Mus musculus: one gene and its partner. The protein of the gene in region 1 interacts with the protein of each later gene in a pairwise test. Links are inferred from orthologs where the notes say so. Each region holds a gene or a part of one and is shown on either strand. Other genes may lie near its edges. The genes, in order: Cd63 and Timp1.

Region 1 (7,889 bases):
CACACACACACACATACATAAAGCAAATACAATTTTTCTAAGTAAAAGAAAATTTCAAGATTAGCCTCAACTACATAGTGAAACCCTGTCTCACAAAATAAAATATTAAAATAGAGAAGCCAAGCATGGTGGCACATGCCTTTAATCCCAGCACCTGGGAGGTAGAGGAAGACAGATCTCTTGAGTTTGAGGCCAGCTTGGTCTACAAAGTGAATTCCAGGACAGCCAGGGCTATGCAGAGAAACCCTGTCTCAGGGAGAAGAGAGACACATGTTATCTCAACACATGGGAGGTAGAGACAGAAGTTACCAAGAGTGCAAAGTTATCCTTGGCTACTTAGCTCAGAGCTAGCCTGGGCTACATGAGACCCTGTCTCAAAAAAACAAAAACAAGGGTCCAGAGAGATGACTCAGGATAAATGATTACTGCTCTTGCAGAGGGCCCAGGTTTAGTTTCCAACACCTACAAGGTGGCTCACAATAGCCTTTAACTCCAGTAATGACTTCTGACCAATGATGGCTCCTGCACACATGGTACACGGGAACTCATACAGCCATACACATATAAATAACCACCAAATCTTCTTTAAAAAGAAAATGCAAGAAAAACATGCCCAATGATACCTCGCCCTGGGCTGGGGGCTGATATTGATGTAGCTCAGTTGCTTACCTACCACACACAGGCCCTGGGTTTTATCCTCACCACCAGGAAGTAAAAACAAAAAACTCCTGTGTTCCCATCCAAGGCCAACCAGCAATAGCCTTTCCTGTCGGACACATGTCCCTACCTGTGACACCTTTCCATCTTAGATTCCACACTCCTGGAAACCTGAGTTAAAACACAGGAACCTCTCTGCCCACCCTCCAGGCGGGACATGGCTCCGTTCGGAGTACAAGTCTCCATTGTGGAGCCTGGCTTCTTTCGAACCCCTGTGACCAACCTGGAGAGTCTGGAGAGCACCCTGAAGGCTTGTTGGGCCCGGCTACCTCCAGCTATACAGGCCCACTACGGGGAAGCCTTCCTCGATACTTGTGAGTAGCTGGGCCCATATTGGGAGCATGGTGGGAAAAAGAGAGGGCCAGAAAGGTCAGGCCTCATAGGGAAGAAAAGGGCAGGCAGAGGGGATATTGTCACTTCCTGAACCTGGCAACCAGCCCAAGGATCTAGCACGGGATGGAGGAGCGGCAGTGAGAGCATGCACGCTAACTACAGCATCTTCCAAGCTACAGATCTTCGAGTACAGCGCCGCATCATGAACCTGATCTGTGACCCAGAACTAACGAAGGTGACCAGCTGCCTGGAGCATGCCCTGACTGCTCGCCACCCCCGAACACGCTACAGCCCAGGCTGGGATGCCAAGCTGCTCTGGCTGCCTGCCTCCTACCTTCCAGCCAGGGTGGTGGATGCTGTGCTCACCTGGATCCTTCCCCGGCCCGCCCAGTCAGTCTCCTGATTCCAGCTTTACAGCAAGAGGCTGATTTTGAAAAGCAAGGCATCTATTTCTGTGTCTACCCAGTGCTGCCTGGTTTCTGATACCAATTAGGCTCTCAATAAATATGTATTGCTTTAAATCAAAAAGCAGGTGTACAGAAATGAAGGTACCTGTGGGAGCCTGACAAGATTTAAGTATCTAAAATCCCTAAGCTGCCCAGGGAGCAAACTCTCTTGCCTCTTTAGTGCCTGCGAAACTTCTATTGTACACTGGGTGGTGTAAGGAGCTACCTTGCACCTACAGATGCTTTTTGGTGCAGCACTTGGAGAGATGGCCACCAGAGGGCGCTTTTCTCAGCAGAGAAATGAGAATTCCTAGTTGGCGCCTGGCACACCATTGTCTAGTTTTCCTGGGGATAGAAGGGAAAGTGATGAAAAGTGATCATAGCCAGATTGGGTGGCTTCCGTGAAAGAAGGAAATAAACTCAGGGACACTGCCACACAGGCGGCAAAATTCTTAAACATTCTTCTTGAGGGTTGAGGGAGGAGTTTGCTGGCCCTCAAAGCATCAGAAAGCCAAAAAGTTGTCCAAAATAGACATGTCCAGGCTCTACTGCGTAGGACCTCTATGGAAACTCCCTTTGACTTATGCAGGAGATGGCCTCAAGGATGCTGCGGCAACACTGTTTGAAGGCTAAGCAGGCAGCACAAAGCCAGGGGCAGAGGAGAGCACTCAGCTACAACCTCCTCTGGATTCCCCACCTCTTCCACTGCCAGCCCAACCAACACCCTCAAGAAAATACACCTTTCCCCAAATGCCCCTAAATATGCCTGCCTAATTTCAGGGCAGCGACAGGGAGAAGGAAAAGGAAGGGGCCATCCATCACTCTAAGATAAACTGAGACCATCTCCTTTTTTAGGTCTGAAAAAATAATCCGTTTAATTGAAAAACCTGGAGAATCCACTCCATGAAAAGACCAAACGCCCCCCACCCCTACATTACTTCATAGCCACTTCGAATACTCTTCACCAGACAGCAGGAGAAGATAATTCCCAAGACCTGAAAGGAAAGATGGAAATGAGGGTGGAGAGGAGGCAGGGCAAGCTTCCCCAAACCCATCCAACAGCCACTGTTCCCAGGCCGGTGCCTCCTGCTCCCCAGATGCCCTGGGCTGATTCAGACCCCCCCCCCCCAGCCCACAGCATTCTTCACCTCCACAAAAGCAATGCCCAGGGCCGCTGCAGCCACCAGCAGTATGTTCTTCCTTAGCCATATTGCTATAGTCTCCACGCAGCCCTGAAGGGAAGGGGCAGGCATGAATACCAACAGAAACTTCTACCTCCCTCCTCCTGTCCCTTTCTCCCAACCCCTATCCCCAGATCTCATCCCCCAACTCTGATCCCGTAAGCATCTCCTGTCTCCTTCTCCCTACCTGGGTATGGATAGTGGATTCCTTGAAATCATTCCCACAGCCCACAGTTATGTTGATGCAGCAAGAATCGGGGACTCTGTCCTTGGCCATGCCGGGGATGTTTTCCCAGTCTGTGTAGTTAGAAGCTCCACAGCAGTTATTCTAGGAAGGGAAGAGGGATGGGAGGGAAACCTCCACTTTAATTCAGAGTTGAGAATCTTCTATCCCGGCTAACCCTCCTCCCGGCCATCCCACTCACTTCTTTCTGCAATTTGTCCAAAATAGTGGCTGTTTTGTTGTCTTTAAGGTAATTCTGCATCTGCTGCTGGAAGCTTTTATTAAACTCTGACTTCACCTAAGAGCAGAGAAGTGGGTGCTGTAGAGAACAGACTTCCGGCCCCAGATTCCCAGAGCAACCTGAGATGGGTCCCCCCCCCCCCATTCCCTGCTTACCTGGTCTCTAAACACATAGCCAGCAATGGCCACAGCCACCTCCACAAGCATGATAAGAGACAGGAAGATGGCAAACTGTGGGAGGACAGGAGTTGGGTTTGAAGTCTGGATTTAAAGGGCTTGCTCTGACCCGGTCAATTACTGAGACTTTCCTGGTGTTCTCCATCCACCCACCTTCACCACAGAAAAGGCTTCCGGTAGCCCCCAAGAGCTCCCACACCCCACTCACTGTAATCATGAGACAGTAGTTCTCCTTGCAGGCCCCACAGCAGCCCACAAAGGCCACCAGGAAGAGGAAGGCACCCACTGCAATGATGACCACAGGCAACAGCGAGCCAGCAGTAGTCTCATGGGTAATGGCCTGCTTCAAGACAACCTGAACCGCTACACCAATGGCGATCAATCCCACTGCACAGGCCTGAGGAAAAAGGCGAGAGTTAGGTCAGATCCTCAGTCCAGTAGCCCTCGCACCCGACCCCCACCCAGAAGATAGATCCTACACCTCCAGGAAACACTGGCTGTAGACAAGGTCTGCCCATCCTTGCCCCACAATGAAGGCTGGGAAGTTGTTTAAGGCACACAAGGAGAAGGGAATCGGGAGGTGTCATGCTGCCTTTAAACAGCGCTTCGGCACAGGATATGGGTTACTTTCTATGGACTCCCAGCTAGAGTCTCTCCCAGAACTACCCCCTCACTCCAGTGACTCAGGTCCTAGGGCCAGCTAGGCTAGGGCGGAGGAGGGGGTAAGAGTGGCCCCTTTCGGGCCGGGCGTGGTGGCGCACGCCTTTAATCCCAGCACTCGGGAGGCAGAGGCAGGCGGATTTCTGAGTTCGAGGTCAGCCTGGTCTACAAAATGAGGTCCAGGACAGCCAGGGCTATACAGAGAAACCCTGTCTCGAAAAACAAACAAACAAAAAAAGAGTGGCCCCTTTCAGAACACACAGGGAGGAGCAAATGAAGGAGGGCAGAGCCTTTCCTACCCCCAAGTAAATGAGAGGGCTAAGAGAATGGAGAGGAATCAACGGTGTGAGGAGTGGAGACAGCCCCTTGGCGATACCATCAGACCGTTGGCAGGTTGCCCCACCACCCCGTACCACGAATGGTTGGGTCACCAGACAGGAAGGGCCAGGAGGGGGTTGGTTGGGGGTGCTCCCCGTCTAGGATGGCAATTCTCGGTCCAAACTTTACTCAGAGGTCCCGGAAAGCTGCGCGTGGGGGATGGGGAAGGGAGGTAGCGCGGACACGTTCTGCCTTTGGCCCTTTTCCCTGGGCTTTCCTTCCACATCTGGCCTCCAGCTGCCTTCATCTCTGGGTCCCTCACCCTTCACGGCTCCCGCTCCAAGACTCCCCCCCCCGCACCCCGCCCGGGCGCCCCGTCGCTCTCCCCGCACTACTCACGCAGAAGGCCAGCAGGAGAACGTAGAGCAAAAACTTGACACACTTCATTCCTCCTTCCACCGCCATGGCTGTTGGGCCTGGGGCCGCGGAGAACACCAAGGATTAGAGCAGGTAGAGCAGGCCGAGGGGCCGCCACATCCGCAGCTCCCCGCCGGCCTTCGCAGCCTTCCCTGCGCGGCCCCCATCGCTGCCCTCCCACCCAGAAACCCGCGGTCAGACCCACGTCTCCCAGCCCTCCCCGCTCGCCGGCCGGACTGGGGCGCGCCACGCAGCGGGGCCTCGGGATCTCGGGATCCCGGGACGCACGGAGGGCGCGGCCGGACTCCAGGTAGATCTCCGCCCGCCGCTGCACAGCGCCGATTCCCGATCCCCGATCCCGACAGGCCGCGACCCGAGACCCTCGCCAGCCCCTGGGCGCGAGCCTCCCCTCGGGTGCGGCGCGGATGGCGCCCCGCGAACTTCGAGGCAAAGTTGCCCCCACGGACGTCCCCCGGGTCCCCGGGCCCGGCTCACCTGCGCTCCCCGACGCTTCTCAGTACTCTCCTGCCGCGGCTCAGCCGCCGTCTCCCGTGCCCCCTGCCCGCGCCCCGCCTGCTGCACGGCCCCGCCCCGGCTCCGGCCGCCCCCCTCCCCCGCAGGGTGGCCGCCTTCTTCCCTCCCTCCCTCTCTCTCTCATGTGACACGGGAACAGCTGCGGCCTGAGTCACCAGGCTAGCAGGGGGAGGTGAGCCCCCCGCCAGGACAAGGCCACGTGGCCGCTGCCTGGAAGGCTCGAGCCAGGAGCCGGACCTCAGGGTTCCCGGAGCCCTCTGCAACCCAGGCGCCGTCTGGTTCTCTCTGGTTCAGGAGTAGGCGAGTCAGAGTCCAGAGGACGCACGGCGGCTCAGAGTTGCCCAAAGACAGAACTGAGCCAAAGTATCAAAACGGTCATCTGCAGACCTCAACCCACCGAGTACCCACCACGCAGCTCCCTCTCCGTCCTTGTTCAAGGCCCTGCCCCCCGCCCCATTCCCGAGCCACCCGCAGAAGGTGTGGGTTGAGTGGCACTGGGTGAAGTCAGAATAAACACTTCCAGAAAGCCCCTAGCTTCCCATCCTAGAAGTCTCCCAACATTCTGGACTAGGGTTTTATGGCCCCAGCTTCTCCATTTTCTAGAACTCCTGAGCTGAGAAAACCCTTTGAGGAAGCCCTTGTCTAGAACCCCGTTTCCATGCGTCAATCATAACACGTCAGAGCCTGGGCCCTCCTGGGAAAAGATTAACAAAGCCTTAGAGCTCCCTTGCTCCTGGATTAGCCAGTGGTTAATGGAGATGTGAGAAAGGACACTAAGGCCGGCGAGGCAATAGCATGGACTTCCGTATCTTATTCCTCTTTTCATCAGAGATGGCAAAACCAGGTAAAGGCGAGAGTTAGAAATACCTTTCTCCCGTGTGCCGCTGGTGGTTCACAGAAGGAACTGTTGTAAAAAGCTCAGATAGGACCGACCGGCCTTACACTCCTAACCTGAACTTTGTCCTTTTCTCCGCAGCTCCTTCTGCCTTGAGTTGCTTACTGAATCTGAAGGGAAGGGACTGTATATAAAGAAACAATTAAAACAAAGGCCAGCTGGTGGCACACATATGTAATCCCAGCACTTTCATATTCTCTCTCTCTCTCTCTCTCTCTCTCTCTCTCTCTCTCTCTCTCTCTCTCGATAGGGTTTCTCTGTGTAGACCCGGCTGCCCTGGAACTCTATCTGTAGACCAGGCTGGCCTCAAACTCAGAGATCTGCCTGCCTCAGCCTCCAGACACTAAAAGTCCATGACACCACACCTGGCACAAGAAAATCAAAAATTCAAAGCCACTCTGGACAGTTTAGTGAGACACCACACACACACACACCTATCTCTTTGGAATCAGGGTCTCATGTAGCCCAGGCTGGCCTGGAATTCCATATGTAGCTGAGGATAACCCTGAACTGCAGGTCATTTTGCCTCCACAAGTGCTGGCACCACCGGTGTGCACAAGTGCATCTAGTTTATGCAGTTCTGGCACCAGACCCAGGATTTTGTGCCTACTAGGCAAGCACTCTACCAGCTAAGCTGTATACCCAGTGCTAGTGAGACTATAGTTCAAAATGGCGAATGGAAATGCATGCAGATCTATGGTAGAGCATGTGTCACGAACTCAGGCTCAGTTCCCAGGCTACAAAGAAGTCTAGGCATGATGGTGAGGCCTGTCCTTCCCAGCACTATGGAGGTGAAGGCAGGATGGCTGAAGGTTACAGGCCATCCTGGGCTACACAACAACACCTTGTCTCAATCCAACCAAAACAAAATCAGTGGTATACACCTATAAGTATAGCATTTGGGAGACTGAAACGGGAGGATCCCTTGGTCATTCAAAGTTCAAGGCCAGAATGAGCTACGACTCGAGACCCCATCTCAAAAAAAACAAGAATAAACCTGAGCTGAGGACGTAGTTCAGTTGGTAAAGTGCTTGCTTAATATGCAGACAGCCTGGGCTTGTATTCTTAGCACCTCATGAACCAGGCATGGTTGTGGTATGTGCTTATTATTCCAGAACTCATGAGGTAGAGGCATAAGTCTCATGAATTCAAGATCATCCTTGGCTACCTAAGGAGTTTGAGGCCAGTCTAAGGAATTAGTCCTTGTCTCCAAATATGAGTAAATAATCGAATAATAAATCAGTACCAGATAAATGAAGAACCTTGGCGTGATAGCACATGTTTATTATTTCCATACTCAGGCTGAAGTAGAGCAATCATGACTTACAGGCCAGCTTGGGCCATATGCTGGGACCCTGTCTCAAAAAGGAGGAGGAGGAAGAGGAAGAGAAAGAAAAGGAAGAAGAAAAGGAAAAGGAGAAGGAAGAGGAGGAAAAAGAAATGAAAGAGGAGGAAGAGGAGGAGGAAGAAGAGAAAGAGGAGGAAGAAGAAGAGGAAAAGGAGAAGGAAGAAGAGGAAAAAGAAAAAAGAGGAAGAAGAGGAAGGGAAAGAGGAAGAAGAAGAAGAGGAAAAGGAGAACGAAGAGGAGGAAAAAGAAAAGAAAGAGGAGGAAGAGGAGGCAGAAGAGGAGAAAGGAGAAAGAGGAAGAGGAAGAAAAGAAAAAGGAGGAGGAAGAAAAAGAAAAGGAGGAGGAAGAGGGGAAGGAGGAAGAGGGGGAAGAGGAGGAGAAAGGGCTGGGGAGATAGATG
Region 2 (7,771 bases), on another chromosome or scaffold:
GAGCAGCGGTAGCTGACTTGCATTCATATGTAAACTGGGGGGAGGAGAAAAAAGAATACCAGGAAAGCTAGCCCAGTGTATGGGGTGAACAATGAGACCCGTGTCAAAGTAAAGCGGAGGTCAGACACCCAAGGCTATAATTTGCCTGCCATGGCATGTATAAACCTTTTCTAATACACACCAGCATATACAGAGAAATAAAAGGAAACAAAAAAATTACTGTACTAAGATGTCTAAGTTTTGAGTAGAGGGAATATTAAATGAATTTTAGTTGATAATGCAAAGTAATGATCATTTCTGTTTTGCAGGTTCTCAGTGCTAATCCCAATGTTGAGATTATTACCAATATATCAAAATTTCTGTAAAGTATAAAAACTCAACACCTTTTTTGTTTTGTTTTGTTTTGTTTTGTTTTGTTTTGTTTTGTTTTCCAATACAGGGGTTCTCTGTGTAGTCCTGGCTGTCCTGAACTTCACAAACTTGCTCTGTAGACTAGGCTGGCCTTTATTCCCCACTCCCACCCCACCCCACCCCCGCTTTATTTTTCCGCTAGAGATTGAACCTAGGGTTTTCTACATACCAGGCATGTGCTCTACCACTAAGCTTCATTTCTAGCCTCCAAACTCAACATTTTGCATCTTTTCCTTGTTCATTGGTTTCTGGAAGCTCCCAGCAGGTTATCAGTATCTTAAGCTTGTTCCCAAACACTATACAGAAATATTGCTGCTGTCTGATAGTTCTTTATTTCACCATCTAAGAGAAAGAAAGATGGAGGAAAAGTAGACAGTGTTCAGGCTTCAGTTTTTCCTGGGGGAAGGCTTCAGGTCATCGGGCCCCAAGGGATCTCCAGGTGCACAAGCCTGGATTCCGTGGCAGGCAAGCAAAGTGACGGCTCTGGTAGTCCTCAGAGCCCACGAGGACCTGATCCGTCCACAAACAGTGAGTGTCACTCTCCAGTTTGCAAGGGATAGATAAACAGGGAAACACCTAGAAGAGGGGAAAAAGGCCCATCTCTGAGGATTTCTCTTTCCCTCTGTTTGTTCTCTCCCTTGTATAGAGTCTCAGTCTCTCTCTCTCTCTCCCGCCCTCCCCCCCCCCACACACACACACCAGGGAGCTGCTAGGAAGGGTTTGTGTTGCCCTACTTGTGCTTAAACCCAAGAACAGCTTCTCCCATTTGAGGAACAGAAAGCCAGTGTTCTGGAATTGCTGTTAGAGAACTGTCACTTGAAGTCACTCAGACAGGCCTCCTGAAGAACCGTCCCACAGGGCAGAGAAGTGATAGTATGGGGAACAGTTGGCATGCAGGAAGAGCAAGCATAAGAAAAGGCAGCAGGGAGGGCTGGAGAGATGGCTCAGTGGTTAAGAGCACTGACTGCTCTTCCAGAGGTCCTGAATTCAGTTCCCCAGCAATGACATGGTGGCTCACAACCATTTGTAATGGGATCCAATGCCCTCTTCTGATGTGTCTGAAGACAGCTACAGTGTACTCATATACATAAAATAAATAAATCTTTTTTTAAAAGGAAAGGCAGCAAGGCTCTTGGACAATGACTGGGGAGGGGGCTGGTCAGAGGATGTTTGGTGCCACCAGGAAAAAGTTTTGAAATAGTCAGATGGCTGGCGTGTGTCCCTGTGGATTTGGAGAATAGTCCTTTGAATTCTTGCAGCTTATGCCTGGGGAAGCAAAATCCAATCGGGGAGGTCAGAAACAGAGAGTGGTGTCTCAGAATAGTCACAAAGGAAAGTTAGACAGACAGCGAAGGTTCAGGGAACAGGCAGTCCAGAGATAACAAAACAACCAAAATTTCCAAAAGAACAGGCCCAGGGGTGGAGCAATGGCAAGAGAAATCAAAGATAGTGATTGGGTTTGGGCAGCAACTACAACTGCATACAATAGCCAGAGGGAAAAAGAAACCATTCCAAGACTTATCTCCTGGAGGAAAACTGGGTCCAGGCACTTACTGTGCACACCCCACAGCCAGCACTATAGGTCTTTGAGAAAGCTCTTTGCTGAGCAGGGCTCAGAGTACGCCAGGGAACCAAGAAGCTGCAGGCACTGATGTGCAAATTTCCGTTCCTTAGGCGGCCTGTAAGAGAAGCAAGAAACCAATAGGCTTTTGGATTGGCTGGGTGGGGTCGGAGTGGTCACCTAATTAGCATTAGGTTACAGACCCTCCCACTCCCATTTCAACCAGGCCCTTTTCCTTTAGAGCCTAACTCCTCCCAGTTGCCTGAAAGCATTAGGGATGTGGCCCAAGGTGAAGGGGCGGGGCCTCACCCGTGATGAGAAACTCTTCACTGCGGTTCTGGGACTTGTGGGCATATCCACAGAGGCTTTCCATGACTGGGGTGTAGGCGTACCGGATATCTGCGGCATTTCCCACAGCCTTGAATCCTTTTAGCATCTGCCCATGAGTGACAAAAAGTACATCTTTTACTGACATAATCCTCCCACTCCACTCTCTTTCCTGATGGCAATATATCTAAATCACAAGTTTACAGAAAACATCCACACCAACGAAAGGTTAGATGCTTCTATTTTGAGGAGAAGGAATAGGTTAGGTACAGCCATGGAGGGAGGGAGGGAAGGGAAAATACCTTAGTCATCTTGATCTTATAACGCTGGTATAAGGTGGTCTCGTTGATTTCTGGGGAACCCATGAATTTAGCCCTTATGACTAGAGGAAAGGAAGGGGAAATGGGGAATCAAATGGGCAAGCAGCATGAACCCATAGCAGCAAAGCATATATACAGCATAATTCAAATGGCTTCCACATCAGTTGATTCATCTACATATTGTCTATTCTTTTAGGCACTGTTTTAAGCCCTTTTCATATATCCATTTATTGGCTTACTCAACAAATATTTTGGAGTGCCTGGTGCCAGCCACTGTTCAGGGTGTTAGGGACAGTGACCCAAATACAGGAATCCATTTCCTTATGGAGCTCACATTCAAGCCAGGAGGAGACAGACTAACATTAAGTAGCCAGGCATGGTGGCACAGGCCTGTAACCCTAGCTCTGTCAGAGCCTGATGGAGGATCACTTTACTCTGAGTTCAAGACTAGTCTAGACAATTTAGTGAGAACCTGTTTAAAATAAAAAATTCACCAAAAAAAGGGTTGGGTTTGTAGCTCAATTGTGCAGTATTTGCCTGGATCCTAGGTTCAATCCCCGGTACCAAGGGGAAAAAGAAAAAAAGGTATGTGGATTGTTACAGGCTATTAAGTGGGTTAGAAAATTAGAATAGGGAAGGGGTTGACAGATGCTTTGCTTGACCACAATTTACTCAGGCTCATTAACCTTCTTCCAAGCTCATTAGTACAGTTTCTCTTTAAAATCCACTTGTAGCGAAGTATCCTAAATTAGGTTAGTGAAAACACCCACCCTTATCTGATTCTCCTCAGTATGTGATGGGGCCACCAGATGATTATACTAGCCAGTTTTCAAGAGACCTAAACTGGGTGTGATGGCACAGACCTGCAATCTCAGCACTTGGATGGCTGAGTGGGAAGGATCAGGGGTTCAAGGCCAGCCTGGGTTATATAGTGAGACCTAGTCTCAAAAACAAAAAGTAAGCTGATAGGCTAGAGAGATGACTTAATGGTTAAGAGCACTTGCTGCTCTTTGAGGTCCCAAGTTTAGTTCCCAGAATCCACATAGGGTAGCTCACAACCATTCATAACTCCAGCTCCAGGGGATTTGATGCCTTGAGGACCCACAGGCACCTACACACCACACATGGAATACACACAAACATACACATAAATAAAAATAATCTTTTTAATGGATTTAGCCTGAATCCTCTTGCCTTTGATATTTCTTCTCAATGGTTTCCCATTCACCAACTCCCAAACTGTTCCTTGGCCATTGAGTTCCATTTGCCCATGTAATGTTGAGAGTTAATCTATCTCCCCCCACCACCCCCATCTCTTGGCAAATTCTAATTGTCATGGTCCTGAATGAAGTCTGCCTGCCTGTGTCCTAAGAAGTGCCATTAACAGCATATGTAACAAAGGTTCAGGAGTACTATGTGGCTGGCATTAAATTTAAAATTAAATAAAAGTAGGCAAGCACCTCAGTAAGATGACTTTTAAGGCAGCCACCCATGTAGATAACTACAGAAAAGCATGTACATAGTACTGGGAGCAGCCAGCACAAAGGTAGGCTTAGGCCCAAGGATGTCAGTGTGGCAAAAGCAGATGTATGGAAGGGTAAGTAGAACTGTCCTAGAGACAACTGCCATAATGAACCCTATTGGATTAAGAGGGACAGAAAGGGGGCCAGACTCACCCAGGTCCGAGTTGCAGAAGGCTGTCTGTGGGTGGGGTGGGGCACAGCTACAGGCCTTACTGGAAGCTATCAGTGATAGCAACAAGAGGATGCCAGATGCCAGAGATGCAAAGGGGGCCATCATGGTATCTGCTGGTAAAGAGTAGGTGTTAATAGGTTCCCAGACCAACGGCTTACATGGCCATTGGTCCTAGGGAGATTTGGGACCTCTTTAGGTTAGAGAATGGAGTTGTGGCAGTTGGTGAATAAGGGAGCGGAGAACGTTGAGAATTTAACAGAATTGGGAAAATCTGACATTTGTGTAGTGATGAATTTGGAGTTTGGGAAACTGGAGAAATATAATGAGGAATTAGGGCTATTAAAATATAATGGGCTGAGGATTTCAGAGATATTGGGGGGTTAGAACAGGTTTGGGGTTTTAGGGAGCTGGAGAAAATGGGGGTTAAGGGTCTTGGGGAATTTGGAGGTTTACGACAATGGTAATGCTTGAGGAATTTGTAGGCAGAAGAACTGTTGAAGTTCCATGAACCAGACATGGCAAAGAGAACAGGGGAGTTACCAGGAACCATAAGGATTGAGGGACAGGCAAGTTGGGAAGTCTTCAAGGTATTAAAGGCTTGTGGGTTTGGAGCACTTAGCAAAGGCATGAAGGAGTCTGGAGAGTCCAGCTTGGGACGATCATTCCAGGCCCTCTCCCGTTATATTCCTCTTTAGCTAACTAGGGATCCTGATACCTGCAAGCCACGTGAGCAGTTAGTCTGGCAAGGGCTGCATGAGCCGCACCAACACAGGCTCCAGGCAAGCCCCAGTTCTGCCAGGACACCCGGCTCCCACTTACCTCTGGTGTGTCTCTAGGAGCCCCGATCTGCGATGATGGCGGCAGGGGCTGCACAGTGGAGAATAAATGTCCATGCGAAGGGCGGAGTTGGCGGGGAAATCACTGCCTCCAGGCTTCCTGGACGCATTACTCATCCACCCACCGCTGGAGTCAAAGCCTAGGGGCGGGCCCCAGGATAAACCCAAAGATACTCCCTCCTCTGCCAGCCAGCCCACTGCGCCCCCTTCCCCCAGCTCCACGTCATGCACAGTCCTTCCTGGCGGCCTTGAAGGGCAGAAGAGAGAGCGCCTAAAGCTTTGTGCCTCTCAGGTTTCCCATATTCCCCAAACTTCCTGTGGCTGAAGCCAATAACTTCTTTCTCACGCCTTTCATCTACTATGTAACAATCTCACAAGAAAGGCATTCCTGTGGATCTGAAATTCTGGTGAGGGGTGTCAGAGGGTGACAAACTAGAAAAGCAGTTGAGGGACATGACATGGGAGAAGAGGCACAAATACATAGTGGGGAAATTGATACACTGGATAAGTCTATGACTTATCCAAGATAGCAGTTGAGTCTGGCAGAACTGGGAGGGAACCGAGGCTGCTTGCAGACAGAGCCTAGGTACCCCAAACCTTGCTGTGGCTGCACACACCGGTGAGGCTATTTGAAGATATCATCAGCTACAAGAGACCCTGTCTTAAACAGAAACAAGACCAAACAGGCAAATAACTGAAGTAAAGATCTTTGTTAGTGTCACAGGACAAAACAGGGATTTAAACCTAGGCTTCCTGACCCTGGAGTCCTAACTCAGGCAGGACACAATCTTGACAAGCAGGGAATGGTGTGGTGAGCATGGGTGGTGGTGGTGGTGGTGACTGATGGTAAAAGAAGTTAGTGAGTCAGTAGAAAAACCATCCCTACTCCATCCTGCCCTGCCCCTTCCCCCACCAACCAGCCCACACCCCTTGTGGGGATGGGATGAGGCAACTGCTGCCCACCAGCTTCCTGATGATGCAGGAGTATTCCCTGGGGTCCTGTGGAAGGGTTCTATGGACTGATTAGCATCTTCAATTAATATAGGGAGGAAAGACCAATAATAATGACAATGGTTGTAATCGCAGCAGGCAAGCTGATCCAGAGAATTAGAGGGTACATAGTCTATACAGTGAGTTCCAGGACAGCCAGCGATACATAGTGAGAACCTGTGACAGAGATAGAGAGAGAGACAGAGAGAATATGGTAGTGGTGATCACAGCTACTTACTGAATGCTTACTGTACATCATTACTAAGGTTATTATGTAAATTTACTTTAGCTAATTCAATTTTATTAACTTAGGTAAATTGGTTCAGAAACCACAGGACACAAAAACCTCCTGCCAGCACTCAACAGGGTACTATGTACAATACACTGTTTTAAAAGGTTTTTTTTTACACTGTGTGTGTGTGTGTGTGTGTGTGTGTGTGTGTGTGTGTGTGTGTGTGTGTGTGTGTGTGTGTTTGTGCCATGACATGCTTGCATTGCTTAAAGGACAACTTGCAGGGGCCAATCCTCTCCTTCCCTGTGGGTTCTAGGGCTCAAACTCAGGTTATCAGGCATGGAGGCAGCAAGCACCTTTATCTGATGGGCCATATTGCCAGCTCAGAAATTTTGTTTGTTTGTTTGCCATTGTCCTCCTTGTTCCTTAATGTTATTTAATGAAGAGGTATTAAATCAATAACAACAATAATAGTAACCAACTCTTTGAAGATTCAGGTTTACTATATGTGTATACTAAGATTTTCTTTTCTCTGAAATAATTGACTTATTCTTCCCAACATATCTGTGAGGTATGATTCATATTTTTACTATTTAGTAAGAAAACAGAGACAGAAAGGAATCAAATGGCCTGTCCAGGAAAGATGGTGAAGAAATTACTGTGGTGGTGGGAGGAGGTACAGAGAAAAGGAGAAAGGGAAGGAGACCAAAATTTTCAACCATCTGATTGTGAAAGTGAGGAGAAAGTGAGACAGGGGGCTGAGTAACTAGGCGGCAGGACTGAGGAGACGTAAAGACAGGGAAAGTCCTGTCTCGCCTCTTCTATGAGCCAGCTTCTGACGACAGCTCTTTAACTATGAAACCTGAGTCAGCACAGTTTTGCCAGCTGTTTACATTAAGGATTCAGATTATTGTACAGGTTTGAAATGGAGTGGGGTGGACATTACAGAGGGATGTTTAGCCTGTGACTATCTGCTAAACTGGATAGGTGTGAGGTTCCCATAGTGATCTGCTGTCATGTGTAAATACCTGATGATACCCAGAGTATTAAGTGCGAGAGCTTGATTATTTCCCTCTGGAAACTGAGGCCCAGTAAGACAGTACCTACCTGGGATTTTTTAATGGCCTTGGGAAGAATAAAGGCCAAGATAGCAGGCTAAAGCTCCCCAGGAAGTCCCAAGGCCCCTGTATGCACATATGGCAGGCACACACTTAGATGCACCCACAGTGTTCAAGCTCATGAACAGAGGAAGCAAAGTAAGTTTGGGAAAATGATCCACAATGCTCAGCAGATGGGAATAGATATTCTTGTATATGAACAGCTCTGTCATGTATCTGTGCCGCAAGGGGTGGCTTATGTCCCTTGCAAGGCATGCTCCATGTCCCTTCCTGAGAGCCAG

Evidence for each region.
Region 2: the proteins of Cd63 (region 1) and Timp1 interact in binary tests that used the Homo sapiens proteins (3 or more experiments, as listed by UniProt). The link is inferred for Mus musculus from reciprocal best matches to the Homo sapiens genes CD63 and TIMP1.

What each region holds. Positions count from the first base shown.
Region 1 is NC_000076.6:128,907,277-128,915,165, reverse strand, and holds Cd63 (CD63 antigen), read right to left. Parts: upstream 5,301-7,889; 5' UTR 5,208-5,300; intron 4,772-5,207; 5' UTR 4,761-4,771; coding exon 4,695-4,760; intron 3,715-4,694; coding exon 3,526-3,714; intron 3,372-3,525; coding exon 3,297-3,371; intron 3,199-3,296; coding exon 3,103-3,198; intron 3,006-3,102; coding exon 2,865-3,005; intron 2,729-2,864; coding exon 2,645-2,728; intron 2,492-2,644; coding exon 2,426-2,491; 3' UTR 2,344-2,425; downstream 1-2,343. Other genes in the region: Rdh5 (retinol dehydrogenase 5), read left to right, coding at 868-1,031, 1,224-1,453. UniProt on the Homo sapiens protein: Functions as a cell surface receptor for TIMP1 and plays a role in the activation of cellular signaling cascades. Plays a role in the activation of ITGB1 and integrin signaling, leading to the activation of AKT, FAK/PTK2 and MAP kinases.
Region 2 is NC_000086.7:20,867,687-20,875,457, reverse strand, and holds Timp1 (metalloproteinase inhibitor 1 isoform a precursor), read right to left. Parts: upstream 5,293-7,771; 5' UTR 5,134-5,292; intron 4,428-5,133; exon of another isoform or gene 4,425-4,427; 5' UTR 4,420-4,424; coding exon 4,296-4,419; intron 2,682-4,295; coding exon 2,602-2,681; intron 2,409-2,601; coding exon 2,282-2,408; intron 2,091-2,281; coding exon 1,966-2,090; intron 988-1,965; coding exon 826-987; 3' UTR 721-825; downstream 1-720. UniProt on the Homo sapiens protein: Metalloproteinase inhibitor that functions by forming one to one complexes with target metalloproteinases, such as collagenases, and irreversibly inactivates them by binding to their catalytic zinc cofactor.